3 linked regions of the Sus scrofa genome follow. The protein of the gene in region 2 interacts with the protein of the main gene of each other region in a pairwise test. Links are inferred from orthologs where the notes say so. Each region holds a gene or a part of one and is shown on either strand. Other genes may lie near its edges.

Region 1 (4,777 bases), on a different chromosome or scaffold from region 2:
TTCTTGAATTAATTTTTTTTTTTTTTGTCTTTTTTGTTGTTGTTGTTGCTATTTCTTGGGCCGCTCCCGCGGCATATGGAGGTTCCCAGGCTAGGGGTTGAATCGGAGCTGTAGCCACCGGCCTACGCCAGAGCCACAGCAACGCGGGATCCGAGCCGCGTCTGCAACCTACACCACAGCTCACGGCAACGCCGGATCGTTAACCCACTGAGCAAGGGCAGGGACCGAACCCGCAACCTCATGGTTCCTAGTCGGATTCGTTAACCACTGCGCCACGACGGGAACTCCTTTTTGAATTAATTTATAATAATAGTACAGACTATTTTACTAAGTACTTTGATATTAAATACCTTTTATGGGAGTTCTAACATGGCGCAGTGGAAATGAATCTGACTGGGAACTATGAGGTTGCGGGTTCGATCCCTGGCCTTGCTCAGTGGGTTAAGGACCTGGCATTGTCGTGAACTGTGGTGTAGGTCGCAGACATGGCTTGGATCCCATGTTGCTGTGGCTCTGGCGTAGGCTGGTGGCTACAGCTCCAATTAGACCCCTAGCCTGGGAACCTCCATGTGCTGTGGGTGTGGCCCTTAAAAGACAAAAGACAAAAAAAAAAAAAAATACCTTTCAGGTGCCAAATTCTCTACACACATTATTTCATTTAATCCTCATTCGCAAAAGTCATCAGATGGATAGGATGTAAGGAAGCAGGACTCAAGCTCATGCCTTTTAACGCCACGTCACAAGCCCCTTTCTCAAAGAGTCTATGGTCTGTTTTGGAGCCAAGACATAGCCACATGAAGAGGGACGGAGAGAGCGTGCGATACTGTAGTGGCTCTGGAGGAGCTGAGAAGAGCCGTTCAGAGGATACTGTTTTGCATGAGTGTCATTCATTTCTTGGGAGAGGAAGGGCCCAAGTTAACCATCAAAATGTTAGCAGGAGCAGGCAGAGGTAGTAAAGGGTGAGCAGAAGCAGAAAGGCGGGAAAAGACATGAGACTGCTGAACAGGAGCATTGCTTTTCTCCAGGTTGCAGAGGCGCAGTGTAAGGCACTGAGCCGGATATATAGAGAGAGTTAAGGAAAGGTGTCTGCCCTCAGAATTTTCCAGCCCAAGGCACAAGGTAGACCTGGACACAGCCCCACGTTAGAGGTTCTGTAAGAAAGTCAGTGATGAGGGAAGAGGGGGCGTTCAGTTCGAACATGAGGTTTCCAGGAAGGCATCACAGAGGAAGCTGCATTTGTGAGGGACCTGAGCAGGCTTTTTGACAGGTAGGAACCCAGAGCCAGAGATGAAGGATGTTTAGTGGGAGCAGAGTTCGAGGCCGATGGCGGGAATGGTGAGCGCCATATAGCAGGAATTCAGATTAATCAGGGAAGCAGAGGAGGTCATGCATGGAAGGGTAACCAGGAGCTGCCTGGCAGCGGAAAGCGCCGGCCGGTCCTGGGATGGCTCGCTCTCCATCCCAGATGCCGGTGACTCAGAATTCTCATAAGGGGGTGGGAGGGGCCAGGGGCGCCCAGTGCACTCATGGGGCGCAGTTCCCAGGCTTTGGCTGAACTTTCTCCAGCAGGGACGGGGGCGGGGCTTCTCCCTTCTGAGGCAGGAGGTTGTGTAATCCGGCTCCACTTCTCTCAGGAGAAGGGATACCGGACACTCAACAGGCTCTGGCTCCTGGGTTAACTCGAGCATCTCACAACCATGGCACCATTTCTGCCTGACTCAGGAATGGGAAGTCAGTAGCAGGGAACACCAAATCTTCAAGCCATGAGACACAAATCGCTTACTTCACAGGGCCAGCTCCAGGGCACATCCATCCGGGAATTCTGCCTTGGACTCAGCCTAAGAGTCAAGACTCCTTTAGTTTATAATTGTTGAAATATTTCTGCCAGTATTTTTTTGAGCGAGGCACGGGGCTAAACCCTTTATGTGGATGGTCTGTTGTAATCTGTTTATAAATCCTCGGAAGTTGTTGGATTATGGGCCCCATTTCATAGTAAGGAGATGGCACCTCGTTCAGCCCTGTGAGTGCAAAGAGCTGGATGTGACCCCAGTGTCAGACTCCAGAACCTGAGTTCCCTTCACTTCCAACTCGGCGGTAAGGGACCGTCCTTATTCACCTAGCCCTCTGTTCCACACCAACTGTCTGTGAGTGTATATACCAGTAGGTCTTTCACCTCACACTGCACTTGGCAGCACATCCCTAAAAACCTCCAGCAAAGTGCCGTTAGCATTTGGGAGATCCCTTCAGTCTCAGTAAGAGAAGTTGCCTCTAATGAGATCCTCATTTTCAGTATCATTTTCCAATGGCATATGTGTCTTCCCCAAGGTGAGAAACCATACCAGTGTGACTTCAAGGACTGTGAGCGAAGGTTTTCTCGTTCAGACCAGCTCAAAAGACACCAAAGGAGACACACAGGTTTGTAGGCTCGCTTCTCGTTGCTGGCAGAGTGCTGCCTTGGGTCATGGTTGATCTGTGATTCTCTTGCTTGTTCAATATGGAAGGGAGAGGGTCAGCCATTTGTTTAGTTTCTGCAATAATTCCCCCCACCCCAATCTCTGGGATGACTTTCTCTTAAGAAAAAGAAGAAGAAAGGAAAGAAAAGGAAACATTCCACATTTTTGCTGCAAACCGCAGAACCGTGATAATTTGCTGGTCATACACTGAGTGTCAGTAAAGAACCCGGGCGGAGGAATGCAAAAGCCCATTTGTAGCGTGTGATTCACTTTTTCAGTCTCAGACACAGCTGAGACCTCGGTGAGAAGCTGGACATTTGTGGTTAAGCAATCATTGTTCCCAAGACTACAGGTCTTCAAGGATTACTGTGCAGAATCAGGTGGTTCCTGCCGGGCCTGGGGGACTGGGGAAATCTGAGGGCGAGGCAGACGTTGCAGGCGTGGCTGGAAATGCCCAGCTCCTGGGGCCTCCAGGAAGCAGGTCTTGTGGGCCTCGCTGTGCTCCCCACGGTTAGGGCCGCGGCTAGACCTTCTCTGTCCGTTTAGGTGTGAAACCATTCCAGTGTAAAACTTGTCAGCGAAAGTTCTCCCGGTCCGACCACCTGAAGACCCACACCAGGACTCATACAGGTAAAACAAGTGCGTAAACTTTTCTTCACATTTATTTTTCATTATTTTTTAATCGACTGTTGAATGGGGTTGCTTGTGATGAGAGAGATTGGAAAAGAATGAGTGTAAAAGTTCTAAGGAGGTTTAGATTCAGGGGAGAGAAAGAACAGTGCATGGCTATCTTTAAATAATAACATTGTTTAAGAAGGAATGGGAGTGGGGGGTACAGAGCAAAAGAGATGTGAAAAGAACTCTTTTCGTGCATGTCCAGAATGAAATGAAGAGATAAGCTCGGTCCCTGCCGTTCCCAATTTGTTGCATCACATTTTTTTATCACTGAGTCTGATAGGATCATCAACCTTACAGAAAAACAGCAGAAATTTTAGCAAGCCAAACCCTTATTCTCCTGAAAGCTCACATTTTATGACACTGTTTTCAGAGATCTGGATCCTTGGCTCTGCTCCCCGGGAGCAGTCATGGTTTCTGCCAGGCTCATATTGGTGTGAGGGCATTATTTCTTTCATACTAGAATAGAGAAGGGAATAGGGCATATATTCACTGGCTGCTGCAAGTTTTTGCTTCTCCACAAGGTTGGTGTGATTCACAATGAAAATAGCACCATCTTTGTTGTGTATTTTCTAGCTTTGGAAGGCGGGCCAGTGCTTAGGTTTTCTCATCTTACCTTCACAACATCCTTGGGAAAAGAGTAGAGTAGGAACCTTTTATCCCCATTGTACAGATGAGGAGACTGAGGCACATAGTGATGCAATGACTTTATCTAAAGTCACAAAACTAGGGAGTAGCAAACCCGGTCTGTCTGCCCCCAGCCTGCCTACCCACTGCGTTTTTTGCTGGAGAAAGAGCCTGGGTTCACCTTGCAGCCCAGGGAAGACAGACAATAAAGACCCAAGATCAGCAGAGTTTAAGTCCATCCAGAGACTGAGGAGAATGGAGACCAACAGGAGGAAGGGTGGGGATTTGCCCCTTAGGAGGTGACCTTGGACAGTGTGGCTGGGGGGAAGAGTGGGGCACCGGAGCCAGCTGAGGAAGAGCAGACCAACAGTGAGTGGGAGGTGAGGGAAATGCAAGGACCTGAACCCTGTGCAGCCCCAACAGGCTGTATGTACAGACAGTCGAGGCACCTGTGCCCCAGAGCTGGTGGGCTGGGCATCTTGTTCCTCTGCTCAGGTGCCTTTGGTGTCACTTCTTTGCCTTAATCCTGAGCTCATAATTTGGTGGGAAAGAGTTATCTCCCCTTGTACCCCACTCCCGCCCTGTGCTTTTCTGTATATGTACAAAGTGACGCATGTCACCGGCAGATTGCTGAGGCCTGTATTTGATTGCTCTCCCCGCCCCCCACCCACCACCTGGTTCTGACCCTGGGACAGTGCCTCCCCTGGGCCATTTCTCAGTGCTTGTCCCATCCGGTGGTTCTCAGAGAAGGCAAAGTGTGGGACAAGCCATATCCCGAGAAGATCCTCTGCTGGCACAGGCATTGGCTCCTGTGACATTTTTACTTAGGATAAAGCCATGGCTGTGTGTCCATTATGCTGAGAGGAGGTGAGATGCAGCAAAGTGTGTGGACTTTGGAATCAGACAGACCTGGATGCAAGTCCTCTTGCGTCTGCCCTCACTCGTGGTCCAGCCTCATCTGTAGAATGGGGATAATAGCGCTCACCTTACAGGCTGTTGTAAGGAGAATACAAAATGATGTG
Region 2 (5,310 bases):
TAACACTTAAACGTGACCCAAAAAATCATTTTAATTATAAATGTCTGACAATACCACATGTTGGTGAAGATACGGAGGAACTAAATCTCTCAAATGTTATTGTCAAGAATGTAAAATGGTATAATTATATTGGGGGAAAATCTAGTAACATCCTTTTTGTAAAATTGTTTGGCTGTGTCCACATTATGCAGAAGTTCCTGGGCCAGGAATTGAACCCATGCCACAGTAGTGACCTGAGCCTCAGCAGTGACAATGCCAGATCCTTAACCCCTGGAACCTATGGGTGGACAATCAAGACGTGGATTATTTTTTCAAAGAAACTTTTCCTTTGACTCTAGGTCACTGTGGGATCATAACTTTCCTGTGGATATTTATAACTTTCAAGTATGTTTTTGAAACTTTGAACTCATGTCCTTTGCAGAACTGCATCTTATACCATTGGCACACTAAGAATTTTAAGCACAAGTGTTGAAATATTAAGAGAACTACTAAAATCAAACCCAACTCTGCTCAGAGTTCCCACTGTGGCTCAGTGGTAATGAACCTGACTAGTCTCTGTGAGAATTTGGGTTCCATCTCTTGCCTCACTCAATGGGTTAAGTATCTGGCATTGCTGTGAGCTATGGTGCAGGTCGCACAGTCAGCTCGGATCCCACTTTGCTATGGCCGTGGCATAGACTGGCAGCTCTAGCTCTGATTCAACCCCTAGCCTGGGAACTTCCCTATGCCATCAGTGCGGCCCTAAAAAGAAAAAACCCAACTCTGCTCAATGAATAATAAGTCATAAGAGACTATTTTAATGCATTTATTTAAGATTTCTAGGTTTGGCTTTGGTTATTTGTTTATTTTTGCTATCAGCTACCTAAGGAAGTAGTGCTCAGAATTAGAAAAAAACTGTTTATTCTAAATCAAGAAAATATTAATGTTGTCAGAATAATTGTTTTTTTCCCATAAAGATTTTAAAGATTCTGCAGACAAATTATTCTGTACATTTTTAAGGAAATAAATATCACAATTAAAGCCAAGAAAAGTGAAAAGTGAAGATAAAATTTAAGAGAGAATCCTGAAAACTTACATCTCAAATACCTATCCATTTGGTACCACAAGAGATTTCATCCAATGGAACTGCTGGAACTCATAGAATTTTATTCATAAGTTCCAGTATCTTTAATTTTCATGCTCTTGGGAGCTTCAAGATTAAATAAATTAGTAAAAAAGAGAAAAGAGGCTCCATATCCCAGAAGAAAAGCCTGTTTCTTCCTTGCCCCTACTCTGAAATGTAATTTAATTAATGAGGGTTTAGTTTCCCAAGAAACTAAAAGATTATAAGAGAGTTTGTATTTCATTTCTATTAGAGATGCAGTTTAAAAAAAAAAAAAAAAAAAACCACCGTATCCCTGATAGGAAAACGAGGCATTAGAAATGTGGAGACGGCAATTTTCAGGAAATCAAAGATGACAACTTCAGGAGTTCCTGTCGTGGCGCAGTGGAAATAATCCAACTAGGAGCCATGAGGTTTCGGGTTTGATCCCTGGCCTCAGTCAATGGGTTAAGGATCCAGTGTTGCTGTGAGCTGTGGTGCAGGTCACAGATGTGCCTTGGATCTGGCTTGTCTGAGGCTGTGGCGTAGGCCAGCAGCTACAGCTCCAACGGGACCCCTAGCCTGGGAACCTCCCCATGCCATAGGTGTGGCCCTAAAAAAGAAAAAAAAAAAATCAAATGATCACAACCCCATAACTTGATAACCAATTTATATTTTCGGACTGGAGGGCAAAAATTAAGCCCATCCATTATGTAAAGTGACTTGTCAATTTGCACCCAAGTAGGTATGGTTCACATACACACTTTAAACCCAGTACACACCTCACTCCTTTACCATGTGAGCACGGCGAGACCACAGAAAGCATTGCAAGGACTGCAAACCACACAGGACACTTTTATGGTGGTGACACAAACAAACAAGGGGCGCTTAAATGAGTGATATCACTTATAAGTGGAATCTTAAAAAAGATGCAAATGAACATATTTGCAGAACAGAAACAGACTCACAGACTTTGAAAACAAACTTGTGGGTACCAAAGGGGATAAGTGGGGGCAGGGAGGGATGGACCAGGAGGTTGGGATGGGCAGATGCACCCTGAGGTATATGGAATGACTGGCCATCGGACACCTGCCATATAGCATAGCGAACTCTACCCGGTATTCTGTAATAATCCATGCGGGGAAAGAACCTGTAAGAGAATGGATGTGGGCACGTGTATAACTGAACCGCTTTGTTGTCCAGCAGAAATTATCACAACCTTGTAAGTCAACTCTACCTCAATAAAACCTTAAAAAAATGAAAAAATGACTTGTAATATTAATTTTAAAAGAAGACATAAACCATTTTCAAGGCACAGGCTCAAAATCTGTGGGAATATTATTTTCCTTATGCCCAATCAATTGTATCTATAATTACTGATTGGCCAAATTTTCCCTTTTCTTTCCTTATTTGGTCAAAAGGAAAGTATTTCCTATGAAGATTTTCTGAAAAAAAGCATTTTTATCCTCCCGGCACATGGCAACAGTGTCCTTATTTAGCAACTTGAAGTTATGCCTGTTTTATGAGGCATAAAACTCTTCTTCAGCAAATAAACAACACTAATGAGTGTTCATATGAAAACTGGCACCGGAAAACATCCGGTGCTTTGCGTGCTTTGCGTAAATACCCATTTGGGGGCTGATATAAAAGTCTCCGGAGAGAAGGAGACTTTTGGAGGCAGGCAGCTGGAGTTTTGCAACTAGTCTCTGCCCTTCTCGTCTGATAGGATGGCTTCTGACTGTTCCCCCTCCTGCTGCTCTTCTGCGTCGAGGGCCGGGGCTTCTGATGGCGCGATTGCTTCAACCGGTCCCGTGGACGCCACGTGTCTCCCCAGCGCCTGTGCCACCTCCAGATGCCACACTCCCAGGTCCTGTGCATCAGCTGGTTGCCTCAGGCCGCGCTGCTTGGCCGGGAGCTGCCACGCTCCGTGCCTGGTGGGGAACTGTGTCTGGGGTGAGGATGGCGCGTTCAACAGCAACGAGAAGGAGACGATGCAGTTCCTGAACGACAGACTCGCCAACTATCTGGAGAAGGTGCGCGGGCTGGAGGAGCTGAATGCGGAGCTGGAATGCAGGATCCGGGAACAGTGTGAAGAGGACGCCCCGTCGGTGTGCCCTGATTATCAGAGTTACTTCGACACCATTGAAGAGCTCCAACAAAAGGTCTCGTATTTCATCGCCCTGAAGTCCCACCTTCCCAGTCTGTGACTTGCTTTATTTTTGTTCTGCTAGAGGCTGTTCTGTGGCAGGATACCAGGGAAAGGGGAGGGACTTCTCAGAGGTAATGCGATGCAGAGGAAAGTCAGGAGGCCTCAGCACCAGCCCCTAGGCTGCCGCTAATTACTAAGTGATCATGATAAAATAATTGACCTCTAAATTTACCTTTATCAGCTAGGGAAGGAGGAACAACAGTGTTATATCGAGAAGGACTTCTGTGTGACACACTGTACGTGTACACATGTACGCGTTTTTTTTTCTTTTTTGTCCCGTCCCACCCCCGCACACGGAGTTCCTGGACTGGGGATCAGATCTGAGCTGCAGTTGTGACTTAACGCTGCAGGTGCAGAAAATGTGGGATCCTTATCCCACTGTGCTGGGCCAGGATCGAACTTTCGTTCTAGCAGTCCAGAGCCTCTGCTGAGCCCACTGAGCACAGCGGGAAATCCTGTATAGTATTTTTAACGCAGATATTGAAATGTCTTTTGGAAGGGGCATATCTGCAGCATGGAGAAGTTCCCGGGCCAGGGTTTGAACCCATGCCATGACAGTGACAATGCCAGATCCTTAACTGCTAGGCCACCAGGGAACTCCCAAAATGCCATCTTTTTAATCCTATAATTTCACCTAGTAATTATTTCCCTTTATTACTGATGAATTTTTTATTATCTTGGATGGTACTATAGTCGTAAAACAAACTACTTCTGGAGAAAAACCTAAGTGCCAAGGGATACTGCAAAATGTCTTAGGTTGGAGTTCCTGTTGTGGCTCATCAGGTTCACGTGACATGGTATCCATGAGGATGCAGGTTCAATCCCTTGCCTCACTCAGTGGGTCAAGGGTCTGGCATTGTCACAGCCTGGGTCACAGACGTGGCTTGGATCTACTCTTGAGGTGGCTGTGGTATTAGCCTAAAGATGCAGCTCCAGTTCGACCCCTGGCCCTGCCTTAGGTGTGACGGTTAAAAAAAAAAGTCTTGTGTCATTAAAAAACTAAACCTTTTTATTTCTCCATTTCATTTATAACTGGTGCTCCTTTTTTTCTTCACAAAGTGACACGGTTAATAAAAGCAGCCTGAAAGCTACTTTATATTTTCTTGTAAAACTTTAAAAGATAAGTGATGCCTTAGTGGTTAAACAAGTAGATACTTGGGTTTCTTTTCACAGAACCACTTATGACATAATATCTTGCTTCCCAGATCTTGTGTACGAAGGCAGAGAACTCAAGACTTGCTGTACAGCTTGACAACTGCAAACTGGCTGCCGATGACTTTAGGTCAAAGTAAGGTTAATTTGAATTGGAAAATAATTTACGGTTGCCTCTTTCTCTCCTTCTCTCACATAGCTCCACACACACCACTGGTATTCTCTACATAATATTTTTTAAGCCAGAAGTAATTGTGAAATTTCCTTCTGTTTTCATCTCTAAGCAAACCCTATAAAATATGTGCTATGAAAATGCTTCATTCTGTGTAAAGAAAACAGAAGAAAATTCCAACCCCCCTCCCCTCCAAAAATATATATATATAAAGCGAAGAATGCTCACGCAGCTTGAATTTTCATTATTTGGGGAGTAGAAGGAGTCACGATATGTGGGTTCCTTGGGTCCACGCGTCAGTCATTGGTAGGCCCAGCGCTTTGCGCAGTGTCCAGCGGGGTAAGCACCGGCTGTGTCTCTTGCTGTGAAAGGTACGATGCTGAGCTGTCCCTCCGCCAGCTGGTGGAGATGGACATTAGCGGCCTGCGTGGGATCCTGGGGGAGCTGAGCCTGTGCCAGTCTGACCTGGAAGCTCATGTGGAGTCTCTGAAGGATGATCTCCTTTGCCTTAAGAAAAACCATGAAGAGGTGAGGAAAAGGGCAAAATCCCTGAACGGCTCTAAGAGGGGCACAGTTAAACTGACAGAACCCGTGTTGTGTATATAGATTGGACTTGAGCAGATGTTGCTTAAGGTGGAAGAAAAGGACTCGAGGCACTATTACTCCCCAGCCTGATCATTCTGGTGTGTCTCTGAA
Region 3 (4,477 bases), on a different chromosome or scaffold from region 2:
CAAACGGCCACTCTTTAGAACGTGGTCATTTAGTGCTGGTCCCCAAGTCCCCAAATGGAACCTTTCAGATGAGTTAAGTGGAAATAATCACAGCAGAGGAAAGGGCCCACCCCCGCCTTCCTCTGAGGTCATAATCACTGTTAGGAAAACACTCTGAAGATAACTACTGACCCCAGCAAAGGGAGATCTTTGCTTTTGTTTTTCCATACTCTGAACAGAGAAAGATTTTTAGGTTTTATTTCAGAAGACAAGGCTTTAGGGGAGTTCCTGTTGTGACTCAGCAGTAACAAACCCGACTGGTATCCATGAGGATGCAGGTTCGATCTCTGCCCTTGCTTGGTGGATTAAGGATCCAGTGTTGCTGTGAGCTGTGGTGTAGGTCACAGACACAGCTTGGATCCCGAGTTGCTATGGCTGTGGTGTAGGCCAGTAGCTACAGCTCCGATTCAACCCCTAGCCTAGGAACTTCCATATGCCTCAGGTGCTGCCCTAAAAAGACAAAAAAAAAAAAAAAAAAAAAAAAAAGACAACGATTTAGTTGTGTTTCATTGAATCAATATTTGATTTCTCCTGGTAATTTTATTTTTATTGTATTTTATTTTACTTTTTAGGGCCGCACCCGTGGCACATGGAGGTTCCCAGGCTAGGGGTCTAATCGGAGTTACAGCTGCCGGCCTACACCACAGCCACAGCAATGCCAGATCCGAGCTGCATCTGCGACCTACACCACAGCTCACGGCAACACCAGATCCTGAACCCACTGAGCGAGGCCAGGGATCGAACCCACAACCTCATGGTTCCTAGTTGGATTCGTTTCCACTGCACCATGAAGGGAACTCCTCTCCTGGTTATTTTAAATATCATCTTTCTATATACCAGAATATGAAAAAAAAAATCACATAATATCAAGGAGAAAATCATAATCAGTCATCATAGGGCTGGGGCTTTGTGCTGTGATATCACTGTATATTTCCTCAGGGATTTTCCAAAACCAATTGTTCTGACTGATTCCCACACGGCCTAGGAGGCAAAAGTACCGTCGTCACCAAATGACACGTTGATTCAAAACAAGAACATTTCCAAGAAAGAAAATTATTATCACAAAAAATAAGACATAAAAAAAATAAATAAAAAGTTAATTGGCTGGAGTTCCCATCATGGCTCAGTGATAACGAACCCGACTGGTATCCATGAGGACACAGGTTCGATCCCTGGCCTCAATGAGTGGGTTAAGGATCCAGCGTTGTCGTGAGCTGTGGTGTAGGTCACAGACACGGCTCAGATCTGGTGTTGCTGTGGTTGTCGTGCAGGCTGGTAGCTGTAGCTCTGATTCTACCCCTCATCTGGAAATCTGGAAACTTTCATATGCTGCAGATGAGACCTTAAAAAAAGAAAAAAAAAAAAGTTAATTTTGAAAAGCCAGGAAAAGGAAAAAAAAGGGAAGAATACTTCTAAATTCTCAACCCATGAGCTTGGCTCTGTAGCGCAGAATGAGAATTACCATCAAAGCTTTAATCCTGAGCCATGGAAAGGTAGCTCTGCTGATGACATGACAGCCAGCAAGCCCTGGGTCCTCCTGTCACGACTCCCTCCCATTGCTGGCTGCCACCCTCTGGGGTTGGGCCAAGCTGGAGGCAAGGAATTCATTGACCTCACTGGGCATCTTCAGAAAGTTATTGTCTATGTGAAGGGCAGTGACAGTGGGGTGTTGTACAGACGAAAAGGGATGAAGGCCTGACCAGGTGCCTCCGTGGTGGGGCTGGTTTGAATGGCACCAGCAGACAGCTGGTCCTCACTCCCCATGCAGCCACTTCACTGCTGATGCTGAAAGCCACCTGCCCAAGTGGCTCCTTACCTGAGGGGTCTGTGGGGGTGTCCGGTTGGGCTCAGGAACTGAGGCTTGGGTGGAAGCGGGGGCCTCCTGGGTTTCTGGGGGCCTCCTGGGGGGCTCTGCGGCCCCTCGCTGCCTCTCCCTCTTTGGGACAGCCTCTTGTAGTCTTCCCTCGCCTGTTTGGCCAGGGAGCGCCTCCTCTCATCAGCTGCTTTGGATTTTCGCACTAGGAAAACAGCGAAAGGTTTGAGAAAAGCCCTCCTCAGCCCACAGAGGTGTCTGGAGGAATCAGCACCGCAGACGCTGGCTCTGGGCTCACTGACTCCTCTGGTGACAACCAACAAGCACTGTTGATGTCTGTCACTCTGGGGGGGTGTGGGGTCCAGGGCAGATTCCTCTCTTTCTATGGGAGCTTGTGGCCTTCTGAGAGGAAGAGAAAGAGGAGGAGGAAGGGATGCAAGAGGACAGGAGAACCACGTGCTCGAGAATTCCCTGCAGTGGCCAAGACTGTGGATGAGACCCAGCCTGTGTGAGCGTCCAGCCAGGGGGCTCTTGGAATAATAAGCAGTAATGCTACATCCCCACACTCGTGCCCCGGGTCACTAGCAGAGACTGGGAACCCCTCAGTGGCTCATGGCTGTGGAGATGCTGGAAGGGCGGTGAGGCCACGCTCAGAGCCCACTGGTTGAGGCTCCGAGCCTCCCAGACCAAACATAACAATTCTTAGAGTTCCTTTGTGGCTCAGCGGGTTAAGAACTCAGTGCTGTCACTGCAGAAGCTCGGACTGCTCTTATGGCGCAGGTTTGATCCCTGGTCAACTTCCACTTGCCTCAGACACAGCCAAAAAAAAAAAAAAAAAAGATTCTTAGGCAGACCCAGCCTCTGCAGGTACATAAACATGTCCCAAGTCTGCCTTTTATGGTTACTTTGTAAAATAGAGGGCTGTTTGTTTTGCTGGTTTTGTTTCAGCAGCCAAACAAAGAAGGACACTAATGTGGGGATTTAAGAATATTTTTCTTTGTCTTTTTAGGGCCACACCTGCAGCATATGGAGGTTCCCAGGCCAGCGGCCGAATCAGAGCCACAGCTGCTGGCCAATGCCACAGCCACAGCAATGCCAGATCTGAATCATGTCTGTGACCAAAACCGAAGTTTATGGCAATGCCAGATCCTTAACCACTGAGCAAGGCCAGGGATCAAACCCAGATCCTCATGGATACTAGTTGGGTTCATTACCACTGAGACACAACAGGAACTCCTAAAAATAAGTTTTACTGAGTGCATTTGCGCATCAGGCCAATTATTGGTCAGAACCTGTTACGTATGACTTCAAAGAAATGTCCCCCTATTGTTCTGTTACACTAGGATTTCACTGCACAGAAGTGATTGGATCTTGTCAACATTTTCATTTCACAAAAAGTGCCATTTTAATGGTTTTCAATGTAGTGGAATTCCCAACAATCTGCGAACATGGCTGCCTGTTCTCCTCCTCCAGCTGCCTACAGGGACGGCTGGGCAGTTACGGCTCCCGTGTCCAAGTCGGATGGAAACCCTAATTCATCCTCCCAGCATCCTCACGCATGCTCGGTTCTGTCTTCCTTTGCGCTGGCCTCTCCCCAGGGGGGCTATCTCTGGGCAGCACTAACTCAGGAGTCAGGGCTGGACCACAGACTTGGGAGGGATGCTGACACACCCAGCCTGTCATCCCTGTGTTTGGATTACAGAGTTAAGATGGGTTCACTGTTGAAAGTTGAGGAAAAGACAGAAAAACAACCTCGGATCCTGCCTCTCTAAGAAGGCAAATGTCAGCATGTTCACCTTCCACTTCTTTTCCTTTATATACTTGGACATTTTTAAGTGGGGACATTTTCATACTATTTTAAAATGATTTTTCTTCTCCAAGCTAAAAAAGATATAAACATGTCCTAAGGACATTAAACATTCTTCCAAAATGTTTCTTCATAGCTGAATATCATTCCATCTCATAGATGAATTGTCATTTTGATGCTCCAAAGATGAATTGAGACCTTTCTGCAGTGGCTCATAGCCTATGAGTAATAATTTAGTGTTAAAACATCTCTCAACAACCACTTGAAGTGCTTCTTAGATTGCTCATCTTATTAAGTGCACAGACAGGCTTAGCATGTGATGTTATGGAGGCTTCTGGATACTTACAAGAGGCCTGCCACTCCGAATCTTCCTTCCAGTTCTTGTAAATCTGCTTAGTTCTCTCTTCATCTATTTGTTTTATTTCTTCATCTTGTGTTTTCTTCACGGACTCTTTCTTCTGTTTAAAAAAACAAAAGGAAGCACTGGTGAAGGACTCCAATAGTTTCCTCCCAGGAGACAGGCACTAGGCATGATATTGGCACAAGAACAGGCATACAGTCAATAGAACAGAACAGAGAGCCCAAAAATGAAAACACAACCTTACAAAATCTATGGGATACAGCAAAAGGAGTCCTAGGAGGGAAGTTCATAGTGATACAGGCCTTCCTCAAGAAACAAGAAAAATCTCAAATGAACAACCCAACCTATTACCTAAAAGAATGTGAAAAAGAAGACCAACAACCAAAGCCCAGTTAACAGAAGGAAGGAAATAACAAAGATCAGAAAGAAAATAAATAAAATAGAGATCCAAAAAATT

What was found.
Region 1: the proteins of KRT40 (region 2) and WT1 interact in binary tests that used the Homo sapiens proteins (3 or more experiments, as listed by UniProt). The two-hybrid records come from large-scale screens. The link is inferred for Sus scrofa from reciprocal best matches to the Homo sapiens genes KRT40 and WT1.
Region 3: the proteins of KRT40 (region 2) and SH2 domain-containing protein 4A-like interact in binary tests that used the Homo sapiens proteins (3 or more experiments, as listed by UniProt). The two-hybrid records come from large-scale screens. The link is inferred for Sus scrofa from reciprocal best matches to the Homo sapiens genes KRT40 and SH2D4A.

Annotation. Positions count from the first base shown.
Region 1 is NC_010444.4:28,449,020-28,453,796, forward strand, and holds part of WT1 (Wilms tumor protein homolog), read left to right. Parts: intron 1-2,325; coding exon 2,326-2,415; exon of another isoform or gene 2,416-2,999; coding exon 3,000-3,092; intron 3,093-4,777. UniProt on the Homo sapiens protein: Transcription factor that plays an important role in cellular development and cell survival. Recognizes and binds to the DNA sequence 5'-GCG(T/G)GGGCG-3'. Regulates the expression of numerous target genes, including EPO.
Region 2 is NC_010454.4:21,479,090-21,484,399, forward strand, and holds the start of KRT40 (keratin, type I cytoskeletal 40), read left to right. Parts: upstream 1-1,635; 5' UTR 1,636-2,808; coding exon 2,809-3,243; intron 3,244-4,495; coding exon 4,496-4,578; intron 4,579-4,985; coding exon 4,986-5,142; intron 5,143-5,310. UniProt on the Homo sapiens protein: May play a role in late hair differentiation.
Region 3 is NW_018084867.1:17,921-22,397, forward strand, and holds the end of SH2 domain-containing protein 4A-like, read right to left. Parts: intron 4,118-4,477; coding exon 4,006-4,117; intron 2,058-4,005; coding exon 1,852-2,057; 3' UTR 1,331-1,851; downstream 1-1,330. UniProt on the Homo sapiens protein: Inhibits estrogen-induced cell proliferation by competing with PLCG for binding to ESR1, blocking the effect of estrogen on PLCG and repressing estrogen-induced proliferation. May play a role in T-cell development and function.